Linked DNA regions of Arabidopsis thaliana. The protein of the gene in region 1 interacts with the protein of each later gene in a biochemical or structural test. Each region holds a gene or a part of one and is shown in the gene's direction. Other genes may lie near its edges. The genes, in order: AT1G49580 and TUB7.

Region 1 (5,738 bases):
AGCTATTTTAATCTATTATACATATATAGTCTAAATACAAAATAGTAGTTAGGTTACGTACACCATCATGTTAAATGCAAAACACAAACAGCCAATAGAGAAATATCATATAATTCATGCAAATAAACTAAACATTATCTATTCCACAAATGAGATTAATTTTTTATTTAAAATATATACATATAACAACTCGAGGTTTAGTTTTAAGCGAAACGTATATGTGTGAAAATTAGTTAATGAACCTTATTTTTTCTTCTTTTATAGCTGGTTATTTCTTAATATTCGTGTTAATAACATTAGTAAAAACACAGTAAAGATTTTTTTGTCTAATATGATAAGTAATAATTAATTAACGTTACATGTCCGAGACGACCGCAAATTTGGGGCATACCTCTTGGAGCATTCGTCATTGTCTCGTTGATGTGTTTTCATATAACGTTTGGATAATTTTCAATTTAATGTCAAGACAATTTTGAATGCTAGTTATTCTGATCTCAAAAGAAGATGCTGACCAAGATGTTTATCTCTGATGTCATGCCTTGCACAATTTCAAACCAACCTACTCCTCTTTCTATATATACGTGGAGCCAAGTTTGTCAATCTTATGATTTGGTGGTACCATAGAGTCGAGTTGGCTGGTTCTCGCAAGGAGTTTCAAAGAGAATTTCAACACATGGACGGTTGGTGTTTCACGATGAACTAGCTCAAGTGATCAAATGTGTGGTTAGAGTCACACTCAAACTTGTCTTCTTTTTGCATAACTAAACGAGACATAAGATAACTTATTCTTTGAACTCTCTCGATTGAGATTGGCATAACACTCATTTTCTAACGGCTTCTTCTTTTGATAATATCAAATACATTCTTCTTCAACTATCTTTCCAAACTTCCAGTTGACCGAATATAACAGGAAAGGAATGAACGAACACAGACTCAAGCATACCACATTATTGACGTCTAATCGACGTAAAGATTCACCACATAATTCACTCCTTCTCAGATTCTGACACTTCTCACCTTTAAAACATTATGCAAACATAGTTTGGGGATTGTCGTTAGTTGACTCTTAGTTATTTAGTATGTCAATTTTTGTTTGTTCCAAACTTTCAAGAAAAAAAAAATGAATTTGATTTATTTTTTCTATCAAAGATATTCGTAAATAAAACAGATATTTCTTCTTCTTTGTGGTAACATATTTTTTGCAAAAAACTTTTACGAAAGAAACTTGTAAACTCTAGAAGCATATAAATAAAATAAAGTATATATTGGTTAGAACCTAATTACTAGGCTAAAAACTACAATTCATTATGATATTTTTTAATTCCAAATCTATACAAAATTATTTCTTACATAAATATATATGTAGACATGTATTCAATAATTTTCATGATAAAACATAGGAGTATTTTTTACAACTAGAAGGTTACATGTACTTAATTATCCTTAATTGTACCCACCAACTGTCAACTATATATACATACTCTATTTTTTTTACAGCAGCTATAATTTTCTTTATTTAAATTTTGTAAAGGTTCTGTTACTTCATTAAATTCAATTTACACAAACTTGTACAAAAAAAAAATGATCTCACAACCGTTGAAAAAATGACCTCATTTAAAAAATATAACAAAAATAAAATATGGGACATGAATGACAAACATAACAGATCGGAAATATATTTAAAAGACTGCAATAAATTAAGGTCATTAATACGTGGCCGGAAGCAACTAATTTACTAACCAATGCACACATCTACTTGCTTCGTCTTCTTCTTCCTTCTTCTTTCTACCACCATTTTCAGATTCAAAATTCAATTCTAACAGTTTCACTTCCCCTGCTCCTCTCTCTCTCTCTCTCTCGCTCTCTTTCTCATGTGATCTCTCTCGCTCTCTCTTTCTTCTCTAAAAGCCAAAACTTCGATGGCATTACTGTGATTTTCCTCATAAAGTAAGCTCCTTTTTTTCGCCGGAGATTATGGGAGGCTGTACTTCCAAACCCTCCACTTCCTCCGGCAGACCTAACCCTTTCGCTCCCGGTAATGACTATCCTCAAATTGACGATTTTGCCCCTGACCATCCCGGTAAATCACCAATTCCTACTCCTTCCGCCGCAAAGGCCTCTCCTTTCTTCCCCTTTTACACGCCGAGCCCTGCTCGCCACCGCCGCAATAAGAGCCGCGACGTCGGCGGAGGAGGAGAGAGCAAGAGTTTGACTAGCACGCCTCTCCGTCAATTACGCCGTGCGTTTCACCCTCCGTCTCCGGCGAAACACATACGGGCGGCGCTACGGCGGAGGAAAGGGAAAAAGGAAGCTGCTTTATCTGGGGTGACGCAGCTAACGACGGAGGTACCGCAGCGTGAGGAGGAAGAGGAAGTAGGGCTTGACAAAAGATTTGGTTTTTCTAAAGAGTTTCACAGTAGAGTAGAGTTAGGGGAAGAAATTGGACGAGGACATTTTGGGTACACTTGCTCTGCTAAGTTCAAGAAAGGAGAGCTCAAAGGTCAAGTGGTTGCTGTCAAAATCATCCCAAAATCGAAGGTAACAAAACTTGAGTTTAGTTTCTTGATCTTGATGATTGCATACTCTCCATTGTAGTGTTAGCTGATAGAATTGAATGTGTTTTGATTCTTTTTTGGCAGATGACAACTGCAATTGCTATAGAAGATGTGAGAAGGGAAGTGAAAATTCTACAGGCTTTATCTGGACATAAGAATCTGGTACAATTCTATGATGCATTTGAGGACAATGCAAACGTCTACATTGCAATGGAGTAAGATCATTATTTTATCATAACCTTAACCATTTCCTTGTTTGATGTTGAATTTAGTTAGGTTTTAGTTATGAATTTGGTAAAAAGAACCTATTGTTTCATAATTGGATTTAAGTAGTTTGAATTTGCAGGCTATGTGAAGGTGGTGAGCTTCTTGACAGAATACTAGCAAGGTGTGTGTCTGTGTGCTACTAAAGAGTTATCGATACTTATGGCCAGAGATTGTTCTTATTTTATAAAAAGATTCATCGTTTTTTTCTACAGGGGAGGGAAATACTCAGAGAATGACGCAAAACCAGTGATTATACAAATTCTGAATGTGGTAGCTTTCTGTCATTTCCAAGGAGTTGTTCATCGAGACCTTAAACCAGAGGTGAGGCACAATTTTGAACTGGAAAGAAGATTATGTTTTACTTTTATGTGTAGAATGTTTTCTGATCGCTGCTTCATCATCAGAACTTCTTGTACACTTCCAAGGAGGAGAATTCTCAGCTTAAAGCGATAGACTTTGGCTTATCAGACTTTGTCAGACCAGGTTCATCATCACACATTTTACTATGTCACTATTTCTCCAGTTCTTTTTCTTCTGGTTAGTAAACTAAAAATGGTATTTTGTGCCCCTTTTTTTGAAAGATGAGAGACTAAACGATATAGTGGGAAGTGCATACTATGTAGCTCCCGAAGTTCTACACAGATCATATACAACAGAAGCGGATGTGTGGAGCATCGGAGTCATAGCATACATTCTACTATGTGGTAGCCGTCCGTTTTGGGCAAGAACTGAATCCGGAATTTTTAGAGCTGTTCTTAAAGCTGACCCGAGTTTCGATGAACCTCCTTGGCCCTTCTTGTCTTCTGACGCTAAAGACTTTGTTAAGCGGTTATTGTTTAAGGATCCCCGGCGAAGAATGTCAGCCTCCCAAGCCTTGAGTCAGTCATTTTTAATTTCACAGCTCTTTATAGTTTTATGTCTCCTGTCTTTTGGTAGTCATAAATCACCAAATTCAGTTCCTATTTACTTTTTTCAGTGCATCCTTGGATCCGAGCTTATAATACGGACATGAATATCCCTTTCGATATCTTGATCTTTAGGCAGATGAAGGCGTACTTGCGATCTTCTTCATTACGCAAAGCTGCTTTGAGGGTATGTTTTAGGCATTCTTTTAAAGTGTCGAAAAGAGCATTGAAGATTACTTTCTCACTATTATGTGCTTTCTTTTCACAGGCGCTATCGAAGACGTTAATCAAGGATGAAATTCTTTACCTGAAAACTCAATTTTCTCTTCTCGCACCAAACAAAGATGGCCTAATCACAATGGATACCATTAGAATGGTTTGTGACACTATAACTTCTTTTATATTCCTTCCTCTTGAGAAAAAAAGAGAAACACCGTAGTAATCTAATCTGTATTGCATTTTTTGTTTCTGTTTAAACAGGCACTTGCAAGCAATGCAACAGAAGCAATGAAAGAATCTCGGATCCCAGAGTTTCTTGCTTTGGTAAATGACTGTGTTCTCTCGGATTTTGATAAATGCTTTAACAATTTGGTGTTAATGATCCTTCATTGACTGGCTTTTTACAGCTAAATGGACTTCAATACAGAGGAATGGATTTTGAAGAGTTTTGTGCAGCTGCTATAAACGTTCATCAGCACGAGTCGCTTGATTGTTGGGAACAGAGCATTCGACATGCTTATGAGCTTTTCGACAAGAATGGAAACCGAGCTATTGTCATCGAAGAACTTGCCTCTGTAAGTTAAAGCATCTGTCTTCAGCTTAAATACAAAAATATCGAAAAACAGATCCTCTAAAACGACATGCTTTTGAATTGCAGGAACTTGGTGTTGGACCATCTATACCGGTACATTCAGTTCTACATGATTGGATCAGACACACTGATGGAAAGCTTAGCTTCTTCGGGTTTGTTAAACTGTTACATGGAGTCTCTGTTCGAGCCTCGGGGAAAACTACCCGGTGAAGATAACGAAAACAAACATGACCTAAGCGAAATCGTAAAAGAAGATGTCAAAACCTTTACTCTAAATCTTGGATTGGTATTGGAAATGTAATAGTTGGTCAAAGACTGTACAACAAATGAAAAGTTTCTTACAAGAGCAATTCTAAAAAAAAGATTGTTGTAATAATATAGTAACCACAGATACTTTGATACTCTATGTGAAGTCAAGAAAATGAAAAAGAAAATTCCAAAAAGATTTGATTTTTGTCTCTCTTTCTTCCCAATGATTATGGAATCAGCGAAATCTTGGTTATTTCCGGTTTGTTACTGTGCTTTAATTTGTGAGATCTGAGTCGGTGTAACCAGTGAAAACCGGTTCTAGTGATGGAAATAAATTAGAATTTAGAAAACAAACCAAACCGATTTTCTTCTCCCCCAATTTTATATTTTGCTTCTCCTCTCGAGTTTGGGATTCGAGTTTAAGGAATTAGGGTTTCTAATCTCTCTCTCTTTCTCTCGAGATTTTTCTTCACTTAGTTCTTGATTCTGATTAAAAGTTGATCTTATAGTTCCGGTAACTTCGTTTTCTGGGTTTAATTTTCGATTCAATCTTCATCTCCTTGATCCACAGCCATGACTGAGGTAAATCAAAATTCGCATCTTTTCTCTCCAAATCTCTTTGAATTACGAAACCTCTGTCTTGTTTCGTAATTGAAATTGATCTTGAGTTTGTTTTTTGTGTTATTTCAGTATTGGGTAAGTCAAGGGAACAAATGGTGTGAATTCTGTAAGATATGGATACAGAACAATCCAACAAGTATTAGAAACCATGACCTTGGTAAGCGTCACCGAGAATGTGTTGATAAGAAGCTCACTGATATGCGTGAGAGGAGTGCAGCCAAAGACAAAGAGCTCAAGAAAAACGAAAAACTGCTTCAACAGATCGAAGCTGTGAGTAATCATTCTTGTTTCTTTTGCCAGTGATACTTATTCTAACGTATTTATTTCTGA
Region 2 (4,634 bases), on another chromosome or scaffold:
AATAGATCATTCTCACCTTATACACAAATTTACGGATGCAATTAGAAAGGTAACTTCTAGAAAGCCATATATCTTTGAAAATTGACCTTTAAATGATGATATGTCTCAGATCCCCATTGCAGGGCCTCCTCAAATCTACTTGCTCCAATTGGGAGAATCATAATTTCCTAAACAAATTATGAAAACACAACAATCATTACATATGTAAATGAAATTACTTGAAAACCAAAAGATTTCTTGAAGAACTTTGAGAAACAGAAACGTTAATAGTGAACTTAATGTAGAATACCTGAATGGCAAAAGTATTCGAAGCATGCTTCCCACCACTCAAAACAGTGAACGCAGGTACAGGTAACACCATGTTTGCTCTGCCACTAAGATCAGAAAGATGCTTGCACAAAGGGACCTGATAATAACTTCAATCAAAATCTCCTAACTAAAGTAGGCATAAAATACATAGGATAAGAGAAAATGTTATCATTCATACCTCTTTCTCAGCAGCTCCAGCCTTGCATGCCGCAATTGACACAGCAAGTATAGCATTAGCACCAAGTTCACTCTGCAAGATATTCAAATCAAATTAATCATGAGGAGCAATGATATATGAACTTGTTACAATCCTAATAAAAGTTCCCACCTACCTTCTTTTCAGTTTTATCCAAATCTATCATAGCCTGATCTATCTGACCCTGAAGTTTTGGGTCCATACCAATCAACGCCTCAGAAATTTTTTCATTTATGTTCTTAACAGCTTTAGCCACACTGTTTCCAAGATACATTCCTTTGTCTCCATCACGTAGCTCAATAGCTTCATACCTTGAGAATCAGTAAACCAATCTCCTCATGTCAGGCTTATCATATTAGAGAATTGTATATCAATCAGAGTAAGAATAATTCTCACGTTCCAGAAGAATCACCACTGGGAACAGAAGCACGAAAAACGCCTTTGTTCGTGTGCAGATCAACTTCAACTGTTGGAATTCCTCTGCTGTCAAGGATCTGTCGTGCTTTAACCTTCGTTATCACAGATGATACAGCTTTCTTCAGATGATTAGCCTGCACTTTTCCAATTGAAGATTCAATGAGTAATGTAACATAATTTCACTTCGATACATGTAAATCAAAATTCGAAGGAAACTTACGATGAAGAGAACGGGATCTGAGGTTTTAGCCCTTACGGCGGCATTAACGGCGTCTTCGATTTTCCGAGAAAGCATATGCTTGTCTAAATACTCTTGCACAGACATCTTCTTCTTCTTCCTCTTCCACGGACTTCTCGATTCGAATCTTCAAGCAAAATTTCGATGAACAAGTTTGAATCTGAAATTCATTTTCCGATTGACTGTATTTTTTGGTTCACGCTCCGGTTCAGGCTCCGGTTCAGGATCCAATAAGCATATTCAATCATTAAAACGATGAGTTTCACTTTACAAACACATGCTTGCCGTCTGAGGATTTTGCTAGTGCACATCACTCCGTTTTAAGTCATGCAGATTTGAAATGAAAAGAGTAAAAGCCCATTTTAGGCCCAATAAGAAGTCTCTCACGTGCGATTGCCAGGTTGGAACCGCTTTTTTATCTCTCATAAAGCACGTGCGAGTGCGACGATGTTTTAGTAACTGCTCTCCTTAATGGAATCCAGCTGTCATTCACACGAACATATTTTTTTACGAAATTCAAAAAAACTTTTTATCACGAGCCATTAATTTTTGAATTTTGCCACCCGTTGCCACCTCGATTTACGTGGCATTATCTAAACCGTCGATTCGATTTCGAATTACCAAATATTAGCCGTTAAAACCTCCTTTTCTTTATAAATGGACCCTCCTCTTCTTCTCTCTCTCATAAAACAAAAGATCCTCTCTGCTTCTCCTTTCCCTTTTTCAAAATCTCTCTCTCTCTCTCTCTTTTTAGATCCAGTTTTAGGGTTTTCTTCTCTGTGAGCGAAGATGCGTGAGATTCTTCATATTCAAGGAGGTCAATGCGGAAACCAAATCGGTTCCAAGTTTTGGGAAGTGGTTAATCTCGAGCACGGGATTGATCAGACGGGACGGTATGTAGGAGATTCCGAGTTACAGCTTGAGAGGGTTAATGTATACTACAACGAGGCGAGTTGTGGAAGGTACGTTCCTCGCGCTGTTCTCATGGATTTGGAGCCTGGAACCATGGACAGTGTCAGATCTGGTCCGTACGGTCAGATCTTTCGACCGGATAACTTCGTCTTCGGTCAGTCCGGTGCTGGGAATAACTGGGCTAAAGGTCACTACACTGAAGGTGCTGAGCTTATTGATTCGGTCCTTGATGTTGTTCGCAAAGAGGCTGAGAACTGTGACTGCCTTCAAGGTATTTGAAATCCGTCTTCCTTATTTAGGTTTTTGTCTATTTAGGTTTTTGGATCTGTAAATTTAGGTTGGGTATTGGTAGTGTATGATTGTTTTTAGGTTTAGATTTCTGATTTTGAACTGTGGAATACGGATTCGGTTTTGTATTCGTTGTTTGCTTATGGTTTTGGTTGTTTGGATTTACAGGATTTCAGGTGTGCCATTCCTTGGGAGGAGGAACTGGTTCTGGAATGGGAACTTTGTTGATATCTAAGATCAGGGAGGAGTACCCAGACCGTATGATGATGACTTTCTCTGTGTTCCCATCGCCTAAGGTGTCTGACACTGTTGTGGAGCCTTACAACGCAACACTATCTGTGCACCAGCTTGTTGAGAACGCTGATGAGTGTATGGTTCTTGACAACGAAGCTTTGTATGACATTTGCTTCCGTACACTCAAGCTTAGCACTCCAAGTTGTAAGTATTCCAATGTTCTTCGATTATGAGTCAATGTTGTTACTGTATCTGTCTCTGTGGTTTATTGTTTCAGGCTTAGTTATTGATTAGTATTGAAACTTCACTCACATATTTTTTTGTTTGTTTTCTGAATTGTGCAGTTGGTGATCTGAACCACTTGATCTCTGCAACCATGTCTGGTGTAACCTGCTGTCTTAGGTTCCCTGGTCAACTGAACTCTGATCTGCGAAAGCTAGCTGTGAATCTGATCCCATTCCCTCGTCTCCACTTCTTCATGGTGGGATTTGCTCCTCTCACCTCTCGTGGATCTCAGCAGTACCGTAACCTCACTGTCCCAGAGCTCACTCAGCAAATGTGGGATGCTAAGAACATGATGTGTGCTGCTGACCCAAGACACGGTCGCTACCTCACTGCTTCAGCCATGTTCCGTGGAAAGATGAGCACCAAGGAGGTCGATGAACAGATGCTGAACGTACAGAACAAGAACTCCTCCTACTTTGTGGAATGGATCCCTAACAACGTCAAATCAACCGTCTGTGACATTCCCCCTACTGGTCTGAAGATGGCTTCAACGTTCATTGGTAACTCAACTTCGATCCAAGAGATGTTCAGGCGTGTCAGTGAGCAATTCACTGCTATGTTCAGGAGAAAGGCTTTCTTGCATTGGTACACAGGTGAAGGTATGGATGAGATGGAGTTCACTGAAGCTGAAAGCAACATGAACGATCTTGTCTCTGAGTATCAGCAGTATCAAGATGCAACGGCTGATGAAGAAGGAGAATATGAAGAGGAAGAAGCTGAGTACGAGCAAGAAGAAACTTATTGAAGAAACAGATGATAAGAACACCTCAACTTCCAGTTGCTGTTTACTTTTAAAACTCTCTTCTATTAAGTTCTTATAGTTTCTGTAACTATCGCTTGCGTTATTAGTAGTTATGATACTCTGCGTAGGCTAAGAGGATTTATCAATCAATATTCAAACAATCTATTTTGCTAAATCAAAATCCATCCATAGTATTTTTTTTCTTTGTTTCATTATATAACCTTTTGTTAATTTTGACTATGTGAATTCGGTGAAGACTTCACCATCTTTCAAATATAAGAAGCAGAGTAGTAGTGACAATGGTTATAAGCAATATAAGAATCTTCTTGGTTAAATTTTGGTGTGGATTATGAATTTGACGAGTCAATTTGAAGGACGAATCTGGATTTAAGATAAAAATAGTATAAACTCCATAGGAGAATACAATGGTTATCAGTTGTTTTCAATGTCCATGGACCCAAATAGATCCCTCTGCCTCTTAAGCTCTTCTTCTTCAGCCTCCTCCTTACGCTTTTGTTCATCCTTATACTCAGCAACAGCCTTATCAAAAACGCTTCTCACATGTCTGTTCATTTGCATGAGCTCTTGACATGCATCTTTAAAAACCTCTCTTGCTGGATCACCTAAAAGCCACAGAGCCAACACGTTTTATGTTGTTAGACACACAGACAAAGAACTCGGATAAGAGTTATCCAAAAAGAACATAGCTTAACTCTGATGAACAGAGTTTTTGAAAAACAGTACCTGTTGTCTGGACCCGGATATTGACCTGTTCAAGGGAAGGATGTGGGATGGTGTATGCAGCCACGGTTACTCTGGGACTGCAGAATTGAAAACAGTACTGGTTATTGACATAATCATCATTGTCTACACACCAGCATATCAACTCCATCAACCTCAAAGATAAGATAATGTGACATTCATTGAATACAATGAGAATCTCTAACAACATAACATGAATGTAAACCAACATTTAATCGAACTCTCAAGTTTCACAATCACAATATAATGGC

What was found.
Region 2: of the proteins of AT1G49580 (region 1) and TUB7, one has a biochemical effect on the other in vitro, tested with the Arabidopsis thaliana proteins (one study listed by BioGRID).

The regions. Positions count from the first base shown.
Region 1 is NC_003070.9:18,349,637-18,355,374, forward strand, and holds AT1G49580 (Calcium-dependent protein kinase (CDPK) family protein), read left to right. Parts: upstream 1-1,687; 5' UTR 1,688-1,974; coding exon 1,975-2,538; intron 2,539-2,639; coding exon 2,640-2,770; intron 2,771-2,901; coding exon 2,902-2,943; intron 2,944-3,034; coding exon 3,035-3,143; intron 3,144-3,226; coding exon 3,227-3,305; intron 3,306-3,403; coding exon 3,404-3,700; intron 3,701-3,798; coding exon 3,799-3,914; intron 3,915-3,995; coding exon 3,996-4,103; intron 4,104-4,207; coding exon 4,208-4,270; intron 4,271-4,353; coding exon 4,354-4,521; intron 4,522-4,604; coding exon 4,605-4,748; 3' UTR 4,749-4,998; downstream 4,999-5,738. Other genes in the region: AT1G49590 (C2H2 and C2HC zinc fingers superfamily protein), read left to right, coding at 5,361-5,369, 5,478-5,678. UniProt on the Arabidopsis thaliana protein: May play a role in signal transduction pathways that involve calcium as a second messenger.
Region 2 is NC_003071.7:12,643,248-12,647,881, reverse strand, and holds TUB7 (tubulin beta-7 chain), read left to right. Parts: upstream 1-1,824; 5' UTR 1,825-1,949; coding exon 1,950-2,343; intron 2,344-2,528; coding exon 2,529-2,798; intron 2,799-2,938; coding exon 2,939-3,624; 3' UTR 3,625-3,965; downstream 3,966-4,634. Other genes in the region: ENOC (cytosolic enolase), read right to left, coding at 87-167, 290-406, 488-559, 642-816, 902-1,056, 1,143-1,247; RPC14 (RNApolymerase 14 kDa subunit), read right to left, coding at 4,054-4,244, 4,366-4,594. UniProt on the Arabidopsis thaliana protein: Tubulin is the major constituent of microtubules, a cylinder consisting of laterally associated linear protofilaments composed of alpha- and beta-tubulin heterodimers.